Linked DNA regions of Mus musculus: region 1 is reported to be linked to region 2. The links are microRNA targets in miRTarBase. Many come from high-throughput screens and were not tested one by one. Region 2 holds a microRNA gene; the other region holds the end of a gene's coding sequence.

The links. The annotated mature microRNA mmu-miR-3474 reads CCCUGGGAGGAGACGUGGAUUC and lies in region 2 at 2,418-2,439, opposite strand. An mRNA with a match to its seed (bases 2 to 7 or 8) in the 3' UTR can be bound and repressed. Matches are read on the target gene's strand: a 7mer-m8 pairs with bases 2 to 8, a 7mer-A1 pairs with bases 2 to 7 and ends in A, and an 8mer does both.
Region 1: miRTarBase lists Tapbp as a target of mmu-miR-3474. Seed matches in the 3' UTR shown: 7mer-m8 at 1,506-1,512 and 7mer-m8 at 1,748-1,754.

What each region holds. Positions count from the first base shown.
Region 1 is chr17:33,927,070-33,934,170 of GRCm38, forward strand. It overlaps Tapbp (TAP binding protein), which reads left to right. Exons shown (of 8, transcript NM_009318.2): 8 at 1,071-2,221. The coding sequence ends at 1,082. It overlaps Rgl2 (ral guanine nucleotide dissociation stimulator-like 2), which reads left to right and starts at 2,825. Exons shown (of 18, transcript NM_009059.2): 1 at 2,825-2,975; 2 at 3,176-3,372; 3 at 4,657-4,740; 4 at 4,971-5,149; 5 at 5,252-5,302; 6 at 5,385-5,682; 7 at 5,940-6,191; 8 at 6,282-6,385; 9 at 6,472-6,556; 10 at 6,643-6,711; 11 at 6,828-6,902. The coding sequence starts at 3,217.
Region 2 is chr2:158,633,907-158,641,021 of GRCm38, reverse strand. Mir3474 (microRNA 3474) reads right to left here and starts at 2,439; the gene lies at 2,382-2,439. It overlaps Actr5 (ARP5 actin-related protein 5), which reads right to left. Exons shown (of 9, transcript NM_175419.4): 6 at 5,596-5,715; 7 at 4,875-5,014; 8 at 4,222-4,354; 9 at 1,811-2,389. The coding sequence ends at 2,132.

The DNA.
Region 1 (7,101 bases), not on the chromosome of region 2:
GGGAGAGAGGAGTTAAATGAAACAGGTAAAATTTAATCACACATTTTATTAAGTTTCTGTTGATACAGGTCTCATGTAGCTCAGGCTGCCCTCAAGCTTGCTACATATTTGAGGATGACACTCCCCCTCCCTCCTGCCTTGGCTTTTTGAGACAGGGTTTCTCTGTGTAGCCCTGGCTGTCCTGGAACTCACTCTATAGACCAGGCTGGCCTCGAACTCAGAAATCCACCTGCCTCTGCCTCCCGAGTGCTGGGATTAAAGGCGTGTGTCACCACTGCCCGGCTTAGAAGTTACATTTATTTGTGTGGGACTGTGTATACCACAGCAGACATGTGGGGGTCAAAAAACAATTTGTGGGACTTGGTTTTCTCCTTCTACCCCATGGGTCTTGGGGATCACACTCAGAACGGCAAGTACCTTTACCCCCTGGGCTACCCCACTAGCCCGTCTTTCTTCCTCTTAAAGATTTTCCCCTATGTGTGCATATGAATGTGTGTGGTGTGTTACCACACATAAGGTTGGATGTCAGAGGACAACTCTTGGGACCAGTTTTCTCCTACAACCTTGTACGATCCTGGATCAAACTCAGACCAGTGATTGAGTCTGCCTGCTGAGTGTCTCCCAGCATAAGTTTTTAAAGTGCAGAAGACAATCAGAATTTATTACAGGGTAAAGTGGGATACCATCAAAGCATGAGAATAGGCAGCAAAGAGACTGTATGGAGGGAAAGGCTCCTAAAGTGTGACAGGGAGTGGCCTGGGAGACCACTGTGCGGCAGTGGCCAAGTCCGGCTCTGACCTATCCAGGCAATGTAAACATGTAGACAACATAAGGACTTCCAAAGCTCAGAGCACAGCCCAGGGGTGGGGTTTGCTTGGATTCTCAGCTGACCCACTGGGTCTTCTGGAAGACTCAGGAGCGAGGACACTCATGACCATGTCTGGCCGGTGGGAAATGACAGCCCCAGCCTGCTCCCACGCCTGTAACTGTGAGAATGTTTCTACATTAACTGGGAGAAACTCACTTCCCTCCCAACACTTCCAATTCCCCACTTCTTTCTTCTCTTGCAGAAGTCACAGTAAAGAAGTTCTCGTCTGTGGAAGCCACCCTCATCTCTGGCCCAGATGACTCCAGTAGCCCCTGCCCCAGAACAACAGCCTTCTTCTCTTCTTCTCCCTCCATTGAATAGCTCGGATTTTTTTTTTTAAGGTTTTTTTGTTTGTTTCAATCTTTCTTGTTTTGTTCTTGTTTTTAGACAAGGTCTCTCTATGTAGCCTTGGCTGGCTGTCCTGAACCCTCACCAAGCCAACCAGGCTGGCCTCGAAGTCCCAGAGATCCACCTGTCCCTCTGCCTCGGAGTGACAAACGGCACTGGACACCATGCCTAGAGGTCTTTTTTTTTTTTGGTTTTTGGAGACAGGATTTCTCTGTATAGTCCCGGCTGTCCTGGAACTCACTCTGTAGACCAGGCTGGCCTCGAACTCAGAAATCCGCCTGCCTCTGCCTCCCAGGTGCTGGGATTAAAGGCGTGCGCCACCACCGCTGGACTCGAACTAAACTTTTAAGATGAGAAAAAAGCGAGACTTAGCGCCACACTCATTTGATGCCCACAGTCGGGAGGCAGAGGCAGTGGATCTCTGACATTTCCATGCCAGCCTGATCTACAAATAGGGAGTTTCAGGTCAGTCGGGGTTACTTGGCGGGGCTTTGTTGAGAGAACTAAATATAAGAACACACATGCGTAGAGTCCCAGGGTTGAGAAGAACCAGTGTATGCGCCAGAGAGGCGGGTTCATAACCTGTGGCTCACAACCCCCTTTAAGTCCATCGGAAATACCAGACATTAGGATTCACAACAGTAGTAAAGGCAGTTACGAAGTAGCAAAGAAAATAATTTTACAACTTGAACTGCGTTAATGTTAAGAAGGTTGAGAACCACTGGCCAGGGGATTAGGACGAAAGGTCTTCATAGCATCTTAAGATTCTAGAGACCTCAGGGACAGCCCACAGCAGTAGTCTAGAGACGGAAAGGTCCATGTGTCTCCCTCGCGGACTAAAGCCTACCTCTCCAGCTCTCCATTCCTACCACAGCTTTTCTTTTGCCTGGTCCACCTTTACCATCTCCGGGCCTGGTGGGTCTCGGCCCTTTACGAATGTCCCCGTGTGGTTCGTCCTCTCCTGTTCGCCGGTCCTCGTGAGCTAATAAAGTCTTTCCGAGTTTCCATGCGGGCCTCTCATTCTCCCGTTTCCAAGCACAGCCAACCTCGGTCACCTCCCGGTCCTCGTCTCGCACCCGGGAGACGACATAGCCACCGTGGGAACCGCGCGCGCTCGGGCGCACGGTGAGAGCCGGACGCCCGGAGCGACGGACCCGAGTGGAACCGGAAGCGCCGCACTAGCCGGCTTCCGCCCCCTCCCCGCGAGTGGGCGGGCATAAGGGCGGCACAGAAAACCCGGCGCGGATTCGCTCCGTTGCACTCGTGCCGGGGCGGCAGTGTCATTCTCGAGCTGCAGTAACGGGGTCGCGCCACTGCTAGGGCACTTTCCTCGGCAGTTGCAGCGCCGCTCTGGTTAGAAAAAGTGACTTAAAATTCCGTGTTTGCCTTCCTGTGGAGGCTTGAGACAGGACCCTGGTCTCCAGCGTGTCTGCTGCGAGACGCGGGCTTCAGAGCCACCGAGTGGGGCTGCAAGGGACAGCGGAGTAGTGCACCTGCAGCCTGCGTCCCAGCCCCTGGCGTCCAGCACTCCCCTAGTCGCTCTCCCTGGCTCCTGTCCTCACTTCCTTCCCTTTTTGGCTCCTGCTGTCGGGCGGACGCGGGGAGGGGGGAAGCGGAAAGGGCGGGAGGGCCCGGGAGCCCGGCGGGGTGCAGGAGGGGGGCATCGCGGAAAAGCCGGGGAGGGGACTCGGTAGAGGGCCAGAGACCGACAAGAACAGAGGCCCGGGACCCGCGCGCAGCCCTCGCCCTTCCCGAGCAGGTCAGAGCCGGAGCACCGGGTGACCCTGCCCATTCCGCACTAGTTAGCCCCCAAGTCCCAAGCAAGCACCGAGGGCTTGGGTTTCCCCACTCCCGTATCTCCCTCCCCCAGCCTTCCTCAGGGACTCCCACCTAGGTCCCTTCTTGTCCGTCTCCCCCACGCCCGTCTGACTCCACCCAATCCCACCCGTCTCTCCCCAGGCGCCCCCATGGCCCGACCCCGCTGATTGCTTCTCTCGGCCATGCTCCCGCGGCCCCTGCGGCTGCTTTTGGACACGACCCCCCCCGGGGGAGTCGTGCTGAGCAGCTTCCGGAGCCGGGACCCCGAAGAGGGTGGGGACCCAGGTGGCCGGGCCGTGGGCGGGGGGCAGGAGGAAGAGGATGAGGAAGAAGAAGAGGTGAGACGCGGGTGGCGGGAGGCAGGGCATTAAATATTTCTGAGACTCTCCTCCTTTCGGTGTCTCTGGGTCCCTCGGTCTCTTCCTCCCCGCCTCACTCGCATCCCGCCCGCCACACTCTCTCTGGATATCTGTCCCCTGGCTGCGGGTCCTGGTGTCTATGAAGTTCGCCCTGTCTGTCTGCTCGGAACCTGCCCGTAGGAACCTGCCGGAACCAGAATGGCTGGCTGGCAGACGGGCTGACTGTGCCTGCGGGGCTCAGGCCCTCTTTGCCCATACCTGCTTAGACGGGTGCCACTGGGCAGTTGTATCTTGGTCCCTGTCTCCCTCCTCGTTTTTTGTTTGGCTGGGAGGGGTTTGTTTCCACAGTAACCAGCTCCTCAGACTCTAGGATTGGGGAGGGAACCCTCAGATTTCGCCGCCTCTTCCCCCACCCCCTGGTGCTCAATAGAGGGCAGCAAGCCAAGAGGTTCCGGCACCTGGAGAGATGATCCCGGGATAGGTAGAGCGTGGTCATCTTCGTCCAAAGAGACTGATAGGATGTAGTCCGCAGCAAGATTTAGGGATTCAGGAGGGTCCAGAAGTTAGATTCGGAGCCCGAGGATCCAGACTCCTGGGCCCCGACATTGGTAAAGTTAGGGTGACTAGCAAGGCTGGTTTTTCGGGATCGGTCGGGGGAGGGGCTAGGGCCACATGACTCTGAGTCTACCGCCCCCCCCCCCCATCATCCTTACTTCCCCTTCTTGTAACTGGGATTGGAGCCGCCACCTTCAGGGGGTCCCCAGTGCTGAGATTAAGTGGAAGCTGTATTGGGGACCTGGGGAAAAGGAGTCTCTGCGGAAGGACTAAATTTGGGCTCCTCTGGTTCTGTCAGGGAGGGCGGGCCTTGTGAAGTTTCAGCTTCTCTCTGCTTCAGGTCTCTCTTCCTTTGGCTTTGTGCCTCTTCGGGCGCGCTCTGCTCCTGACTTTGCGCCCTGCTTTTCTGCGTTGGGCTCAGCTGTGGGACAAGGGGGGTTGGAGGTGGCCAGAAGAGGGGTTCCTGCATTCAGTTGAAACCCTCACTGCAACCTCTTCCATCCCACCGAGCTCTGAGGTGGCCGGGGGGGCTGTCTGAGCCCCAGGGTGGGGTAGACCTGGGGTCACCAGTACCCTCTACCCCTCGCACTCGCTGGTATTGTCCCCCGCCATCACAGGTGAGGGGTGCAGAGGGAGGAACAGGGCCTGGGGACAATGGCTGGGGACTGGAGGTGCTGTGGAACTCACTTCCTCTTCTTGCTCCTCCAGGCTTCTGTGTCAGTCTGGGACGAGGAGGAGGATGGTGCGACCTTTACTGTCACAAGCCGCCAGTACAGGCCTCTTGACCCCTTGGTGAGATCACGACTTTGAGGTCTTGCCTCTCGGTTTTTAATTTAATATTTATTTATTTATTTTCCGGAACATTAGGTTGAAGAAGTTCTGGTAGTGTGAAGGTAGTTCTGTGTTGTGTGATTTAAGCCATTTCTGAACCGGGGCAGAAATAAGCTAGATCTGGATTATCCCAGATGTCTAGCAGTCAGATTGAGGAGGCCCGTCGGTGAGACACCCTCCATGTTCTCCAGGCTCCCTTGCCTCCACCTCGCTCCTCCCGACGGCTCCGCGCTGGCACTCTGGAGGCCCTGGTCAGACACCTCTTGGATGCCAGGACAGCAGGGGCTGACATGATGTTCACTCCGGCCTTGCTGGCCACCCACCGGGCCTTCACCTCCACTCCTGCCCTGTTTGGGCTTGTGGCTGACAGGTCAGGGGCCAAGGGTTAGGAGGCTCCTGGATTCCCTTTGAGCACCCCCAGCACCAGCGGGGGCTGGAAAAGCCACAAGGTAGACCCTCTCCTCATCCCCAGGCTGGAAGCCCTTGAATCTCATCCTCCCGGTGAGCTAGAGAGGACCACAGGGTGAGTGGCCCTGTCTGAACCTCAGTCCCCTCAGGGTGCTGAGGCTAGACCTCTGACCCCTGGCTGATTCCCCTTCTCTCAGGGTAGCCATCTCTGTACTTTCAACTTGGCTGGCCTCTCACCCTGAGGATTTTGGCTCTGAGGTCAAGGGTCAACTTGACCGGCTTGAGAGCTTCTTGCTTCGGACAGGGTATGCAGCACGGGAGGGTGTTGTGGGGGGCAGTGCTGACCTCATCCGAAACCTCCGGGCCCGGGTGGACCCCCGGGCCCCCGACCTTCCTAAGCCCCTGGCCCTTCCTGGCGATTCCCCTGCTGACCCCACGGATGTCCTGGTGTTCCTCGCTGACCACTTGGCCGAACAGCTGACCCTGCTAGATGCGGTGAGACCTTGACCTTTGACCCCACACTCTCTGCCCCCTTACTAACCTCTCCTTGGCTCCGGATCCTTTTCTTGCTTCCAATTGTCCTGGTGCAGTTCCTCTTCCGTGTCTGCTTCTCTGACCCTTCTCTGCCCTTCGCCCCTTGGCTGTTCCCCTTGAACTCTGGCCCCACTGGTCCCTGGCCACTTAAGAGCCTCAGATCCCTGATACTGGAAACTTGTCTGGCTTGACTCTAAATTGTAACCTCTGCCCTGCAGGAACTGTTTCTTAATCTGATCCCCTCTCAGTGTTTGGGAGGCCTCTGGGGTCACAGAGACCGGCCAGGACATTCTCACCTCTGCCCGTCTGTCCGAGCTACCGTCACACAGTTCAACAAGGTGGCGGGGGCGGTAGTTAGCTCTGTCTTGGGGGCCACCTCAATTGGAGAGGGGCCAAGAGAGGTGACTGTGAGACCACTGCGGCCCCCACAGAGGGCCCGGCTCCTAGAGAAGTGGATCCGTGTGGCCGAGGTAAGAGAGAGCAGGCCTGCTGGCTGGGGACTCTTCGTCTCCGGAGTGGTGAGGGACCCTAGAGCCTTGACTGTTCTCCGGTCCTCACAGGAGTGCCGCCTGCTTCGGAACTTCTCCTCAGTGTATGCTGTTGTGTCCGCTCTGCAGTCCAGCCCTATCCACAGGCTTCGGGCAGCCTGGGGGGAGACAACCAGGTAGGAGGACTGAAGTGCCCGAGGCCTGGGGTGCGGAAGCTTCGGAACGCCAGGCTTGTGCTCAGAGGCCTGTTCTTCCTCTCTAGGGACAGCCTCCGAGTCTTTTCCAGCCTGTGCCAGATTTTCTCAGAGGAGGATAATTATTCCCAGAGCAGAGAGCTCCTCATGCAGGTGAGGGCGGTCTTGCTTTCCCCAGCCTCTCTGCACCTGCCCCCTCCTCCCCAGCCCCCTCCTCTCTCACCTTGCTTTGTCACCAGGAAGTGAAGCCGCAGCCCCCTGTGGAGCCACACTCCAAGAAGGCCCCAAGGTCTGGCTTCAGGGGTGGGGTGAGTGTTCAGTGGGGCTGGGAATGGGTGGCTTACCTGGTGAGGAGAATACACAGTTGTGTCTGAGGGAAAGGGAGAAGGGCTCACATCCTGATCTCTGCCATCTCTGCCTGCAGGGTGTGGTTCCCTACCTGGGAACCTTCCTGAAGGACCTCGTGATGCTGGATGCGGCCTCCAAGGATGAGCTGGAGGTCAGTGTGTGTGTGGTGTGTGGGTGTATGTGTGGGTGTGGGTGTGATCTGTGTGTGTGTGATCTGTGTGTGTGTGTGTGTGCGCGCGCGAGCGGGCGTGCGCGCGTATGTGTATGTGTGTGTGATCGTGGGTATGTGTATGTGTGTGTGATCTGTGTGTGGTGTGTGTGTGTGTGTGTGTATGTGTGTGTGTGTGTGT
Region 2 (7,115 bases):
CAGTACCACAGATAAAGCAAGCATGGAACAGCCCGGTGTGCTGGCTCACGTCTACAATCCCAGCATCCTGGAGGCAGAGGCAGGAGGGCTACCACAAGCTTTGGGACAACCGGGTTTACACAGTGAGGACTAGGGTAGCCAATGACTGTCAGACCATTCCTAAAACAAGGGTGTGTGTGTGTGTGTGTGTAGGGACAAGGGAGAGAGACAGGAGACAATACACACAACTGCCGCTCAGGATGCCGTGACATCTGTGACATCACGCTAGGTAAAATAGTCACGCAGGGCCGGTCTCATCACACCAGTTCTTGGTGAATCTTTGATGATGTCTCCTGGGCTGGGGACAAGTTACATCCTCTTGTATGGCTTACCAGCTTCCCACCTGGCCTCCTGGCTTCTGTGACCAATTCCAAAGAGCAGGTTGGGGACAGAGCAAGATGTTTTTTCTTTCACAGCTCTGAAGGCCAAGGCACCCTCTGTCCTACATAACTCCTGATCTTGAGAGAAACGTCACTGCTTACAAAGGACCAGCTAGAGTCTAAGGCCCACAGTACATGGTGAATACTTGTGTTGAAGGCCTAGGAAAACTGCAGGTAGCAAACTCCTGGCTAGCTCTGGGAATGGGTAGGATTCCCTAAGGGCCAATTGGAGGCCAAAGGTAAAAGGTCTGACATACTTCACAGGAGACAAAACTAGAGAGCTCGCAGCTCAGCCCCTTGGCCCTCAGCTCCCAATCTCCTCCTGTGTTGACCACTGCCTAAAAACCTGAGCTATCCAGCCTACTGCTCGTTGCATTGTGTGAAGCACCAGGTTCACCCACTCCGGGCCCTTCACCACCTGCCTGTCCTCCAAGGCTATCTCATTTAAACTGAAGAAGAAAGGCTAAGATGGATGGCCAGTGGTCAGCACCATCTCTTGCCCTGGATGGTGCTATGAATACATCTCTCCTATGGAGATTGGTCCATGTTCTTTCTGCCATCCCATCAGTCCTTGGCCCAGCCTAGCACAGGCAATAGGAAACACCTTAGAACTCATGGGTCAACTGCCAGGGTCTTCTCCCCCTAGACACACGGCCCCTTCAGGCCTGCAGTTTCCCAGCCTGAGGACCGGAGATACAGGAGACTGCTCAGGCACACTGAGCAAACAGGTTGTGTGCTGCGTGCACCGTAGCAGCATCTCAAGGTTCCTGGGATCTGGACGTGGCTTCTGTGGTGCCATGAGCTCCGGAGCCACTGGGCTCAGTTCTTGGGTGTGTCTGAGAGTTAACAATCTTAGCAACAATCTATAAAAAATGATGTTTGGCAGGGTGTGGGTGTGTCACTAAGGAAGGCTGAGGCAGGAAGACTGAGGTGAAGCCAGCCTGAGCTGCACCATGAGACCCTAGCCCTAAAGCAGCAGAAGGGGAAGAGGGCAGCTACCTGGTCAAGGTCACACTGTAAAAGCGTGGGGGCAGGGGGACAGAGACAAATGAAAAGTCCCTGGGATGGGCTCTCCCCCGCCCCCGTCAGTTCTGCGGAGCGGCCTGAAAAGGGCATGTCACTAACAAACCCACAAAACAGACGAACACAAATCTCTGGCAAGGCTTCACAGTGTGGGAGCATCTCCAGCAAAGCAACAGTTAGAAGGCTGGACACAAGCGCCACCTTCCACTTAAGACAGGAACCAGGCAGAGAATGGGGTGGGGGCGGGGTGGGTCTTCCCACTCCAGGGGCTCAGTGGACGGCCACTTCCACTGCTTCAGCAGCAGCTTGGAGCACACTCTGCGCAGTCAGAGGACAGTGGCACACAGGACAGTGGCACACACAGAATAAACACTCCATGGATAACTTTAGAGCTTTAAAAACAAAACAAAACAGTGCAAAGAGCAGCACTGCCCACTTCTCCCTCCAGCTGTTTCCCTCACTGCTGAGGAAGGCAGTCCCCCAGCTTGTCCACAGTTCTTGGTGCCAGAGGCCACTGTGTCCTTCACTGAGGTAGATCACCTGCTCTCCTCTGCTGGGCTCCCAGGGGAGATCCAGTCACTGGCCAAACAAGGCTGTCAGACCCAGGCAGCACCATGGGGCACTGTCCTTGTCCCAAACACTGCCTCCATGGCAAGGGTGAAGCACAAGGTCATCTGGCGTCCCCCCTGCTAGGCCTGATCACCAGCCCCACTTCCACTGGCGCTGGAGCCTCGGCCGGAAGTCTGCGTCTCTGAGGCACGTGAGGCCTGCTTAGGCAGGCGGATGGGGACGTACGTGTTGGAGGCGCAATGTTCCTTGAGGTACTCGCCCCCCTTTTCTTCATAGTCCTTCCTGGTGACCCAGGCTCCACTGTCTTCTAGGTGATCCAAGGCCCAGTCACGGGCACCGTACCACGCATCCAGCACAGGGTTCGAGGCGAGCTGAACCTGGAACAAGACGCAGATGCACTCTAAAGAATCCACGTCTCCTCCCAGGGCTCCCGGCCCAGTCAGGAAGGTTCTGCTGCCTCAGCCAACCATTTGTACATCCTCAGAAGCACACAGAAAGGCCCAGAGATGCCTCCATTGTGAGAGTACACAGTTGCCCAGGTGTGTGTGTGTATGTGCCTGCACGGGTGGCTGTGTAGTATTTACATGTCCAGTGCTCATAGAGGCCAGAAGAGGCAGTGGATCTCCACGAATCTGGCCTACAGACAGTTGTGAGCCGCCACGAAGGTGCTGGGACCCAAACCCAGGGCCTCTGCAAGAGCAGCAAGTGCTCTAACCACTGAGCCACCTCTCCAGGCCCTACCATGTTTCCTCTTTTCACTTCAGCTCATTTAATTGTCTGGGACACGGCTGAGCAGGTAGTGGCCTGCACAGCTTGTAAGTGGCTCTAGGCTTCCACCAGCACCACAAAAATTACAAAGATAACAAAGACAGTAAAACCAGCAAAAGAAAAACAATGTGATCCGTCCTGTTTGTATCACACTAGAGACTGAGCTCCCAGCCTCAGGATCCAGACAGATGCTCCGCACTGAGCCCCAGCCCAGCCCTAGAAAGTCAGTGTTTTGTTTTGTTTTTTTTCGAGACAGGGTTTCTCTGTGTAGCCCTGGCTGTCCTGGAACTCACTCTGTAGACCAGGCTGGCCCCGAACTCAGAAATCCGCCTGCCTCTGCCTCCTATCCCAAGTGCTAGGATTAAAGGCGTGTGCCACCACCACCCGGTGAAAGTCAGTGTTTTAAAGTTAGTGTAAAATAATTGGACACGAGCTACTGCTACCTGATGCTGCCGTCCCACCAAACTGATACAGGACATGGGTGGCAGGGTGGGTGGGGCGTGAGAAGCAGCGCTCTTACAACCAGGCTCTCACAGCATGGCAGGGGGATTCTCGGATTGCCAAGTGGACAGCGTGACCGTTCCAAGAGCCCTTTACCCAACAACTTCCTCCTCAGCTGCCCTGCCAGGTCCAGTCAGGCACAGGCTTACAGCCTGAAAAGCCACGCCTTGGTGTCAACACTGCTATCCCTCCTCTTCCGGCTGCCTCTCTCCTCAACTTCACCGAGATGTCTTCCAGCTCCCAAGCACCCTTAAAGGCTGTGGTTAGGGCTGGATCCTTGGTGTTCCCTGTTCTCCCAGGGGGGCCCTGAGTTCCTAATGGCCTCTTACCTGAGTGCTAGCCACAGCCTGAGACAGTGCATTTTCCTCCACTTCAAGCCTGTCCATCACTCCTAATCTAGTGAAAAACCTCACCCTCTCCTCTTGAACATTTCTGAGAATGAGTCTGTATAACTTAGGCTGGCTTGAATTCACTCATTAGTTCAGGCTGACCTTATACTACCTCCCTAAAAATGTAAATTAATCACATGACTCGTGGCTCAGGCTCCTTCCAAGTCTCACTTGACCTAAAGTAACAACTATGCAGAGAGGAGCCATCAAAGCATCTTCCTGGTTACTGCAGAGAAACAAGACCCTGTCCAGAGATAAGTAAACAGCCAGAGACGAAGCCTTCACTATGGGAAGACATAGGTGACGATCCCCTCTGCTGCGGATGCTCTTTGGATTTCAGAACACGCTCAATACTGTCAACTAACAGAAGAGCAGAGCGATATACAAGTAGGATTGCCGTCCGCATAAGCTGACTGTGGCTTAAAGACAAGGCCAGCAATGAACCTCTGCAGTGGATGATGGGATTGCAGAGTCCAGTCTTTACACCTTGACTTTGCAGTCAGTGGCTGGGATGCCAATCACAAACAGTGGGTGGGGAGAGCAGTCTGTACCTGGAAGGAGGACTGGAAGGGCCTCATCTCCAGCAGCTCCTTCTCCACTCGGGCCTTCATGCCTGGGTACATCACGTTCCCACCGGTAAGGAAAACGTTCTGAACCAGGGTGTCCTGAATGGCCTTTGGGTACCTAGGAGAGAAAGCGTGCACCAATCTGGCTGCTGAGCCCATGGAAGCAAGACCTGGAGAGGCAAGCTCTTGGTACAACAGTCAACTCTAATTAAAAGAAACTAAACCAGTATTTTTGTTTTCATTCACAACTCCATACTATAGGCCAAGTGTGCATTCTTCCCCCATAATTAAAAACAAGATGAAATAAAAATCACTAGTCTCTCAGGGGTATGGTGTCTACACTTGTGATCCCAGCTACTCTGAAGCTTCAAGGTCAAGGCTGACGAGTATATAGGGAGACCCCAACTCAGTGAACACACAAATAAAATGATCACTGGCTTTTAGCAATGGCAAATTTCACATGAAAGCCAGGGGACATCCTGGCCAGGACTCAAAGGCTTAGTTGGTAAAGCTCACAGATGAAGGACTGGAGCTTGTACCTGTTCTGCCTGCAGGCCTGGGTCAGTGGGCAGACTACCTGCATCCAGGCAGCAATGGTGAGAGCTGGCTCGGGAAGCTGAGGGGGTATCACGGCTCACCTGTCCAGGACAAAATGGAGGGTCTCTGCAATCCCCGCCTGCTCCTCTCCTATGAGGGATGGCTGGAAAATAATCTCCGGAGCACGGATCCTCTCTGTCCCAACAGACAGCTGATGATACGCTGCCAAGTTAAACACGGGCTTCAAACCCAAGGTTTAAGAGATGTTTTTAGACTAAGATGACCATTTGCTCGCTGTCAGTTTTCTCAAACCACATCTCCTCCAGCCCAGTACCACCAGTCTTCAGCTCTCCTCCCTTCAAGCTCCGCCTTCTACCTCTGCTCACACTCAAAGTGACAAATCCCCATACACTGTGTCACGCCTGAGCCCCAAGTTACAGGAAGGGACTCTGAAGTGCAGCAGTCAAGTGGCCCAGAGGGACAGACCCTGTCCCTGCTCACCCTGGTTCAACACCTCCCCCCATCCCCAAGGGCTCAGGTTCAGTCATTTTATTTTGCTGCTACCAGCATAACAAGAGGCACAGACCCCAGTAAGGATGGTGATAATGGCTAAGAGCCCATGTGCAGGTCTGGAGACCTCAGTCACTGGCAGTGCTCACATGAGGGATGGCGCCAGCCCCTCAACTGTCCAGCAGGGGAAAGCCTCTGACTGAGGCTGAGAGCACAACGGGGCTCTCCAGTGCTCCCCAAGAAGCGGACTGGGCCGGTCACTTATGCAAACAGCTTCAAATGTACAGGTGGTCTTGGTAACAGTGCTCAAACCTGGACTGTGGTGACTTGCGGCTTCTCCACTTCGGGCGTTTCCTCCGAGAACAAAGGCTCGAAATCACTGATGTTCTCCACATCCTCCATGGTGGGTTCCAGCGGCTCCAGGTCAGGGGTCTGAGGACAGGACAGACAGATAAGCAAACACCAGCAAAATTCAGCTCCGATCTGATGCTGGAATCGGATGGGGTCTCATCTCACCCAATGTTCCAAGCACCTGTGCAGAAGCGAAACACTCTTCAAAGCAATTCACATGGGAAGGGGTGGGAATAATACAAGTTAGCAAAAGACTAACATAGGACCAGCAAGATGGCTCAGAGGGTAAGAGGGCTTGCCACAAAACTGACAACCTGAGTTCAATTCCTGAAACCTCCATGGGGGAAGAAAAGAATTAACTGTCAAAATTGTCCTCTGGCCTTCATGTTTGTGCACTACAGTGTGTACACACACACACACACACACACACACACCTCTTAGCAACAGAAAGGTCAGGCATTGTAGCACACACCTTTAATCCCAGCACTCAGGAGGCAGAGGCAGGAGAAAATTTGAAGCCAGTCAGAGCTGTAGAGTGAGAACCTGTCTCAAGAAAAGGAAAAAGAGAGAGAGTGAAGAGAGCTAGAGAGAAAGGGGAAGAAAGAGAGAATACTACCAAAGTTCTATATCTAGTCCTTACAGCATTCTCATGAGAACAAACAACTCGGCACTCCAGGAACCGCAATGGAACAGTCTGTAGGAAAAATGGACGTAGGGAATGCTGGTTCAAACTCCCGGCTAGCTGTGTTAATTCAGCCTGCAGTCCACAGCTGGGCTTCACCGGTGCCTTGCAGGGCCCACACTATTCACTTCATCCTAACTGAATTACATTGTGGCAATACTAAAAGGCAGAACAGATTAGTCAATGTCATGGCTGAGTTCATCAGGACTAGAACTATAGCTCATCCCACCACCAGCAGTCATCCTCCAACAACAGAACGACTGCTCGAGATTTGGTGACAGATTACTGCATCCAATTTGCTAAACTGAGAGCAACCTGTGTGTACTGTCCTGGCTAGTTTTGTGTCAACTTGACACAGCTGGGGTTATCACAGAGAAAAGAGCTTCAGTTGAGGAAATGCCTCCATGAGATCCAACCGTAAGGCATTTTCTCAATTAGTGATCAAGGGGGAAAGGCCCCTTGTGGGTGGCACCATCTCTGGGCTGGTAATCTTGGTTCTATGAGAGAGCAGGCTGAGCAAGCCAGGGGAAGCAAGCCAGTAAGGAACATCCCTCCATGGCCTCTGCATCAGCTCCTGCTTCCTGACCTGTTTGAGTTCCAGTCCTGACTTCCTTTGGTGATGAACAACAGTATGGAAGTGTAAGCTGAATAAACCCTTTCCTCCCCAACTGCTTCTTGGTCATGATGTTTGTGCAGGAATAGAAACCCTGACTAAGACATGTACCGTACACACATGGCCAGTGTCTTCATCCATTGTTTCCATCTTACTTAGACACATAAACAACACACATGGCCAGTG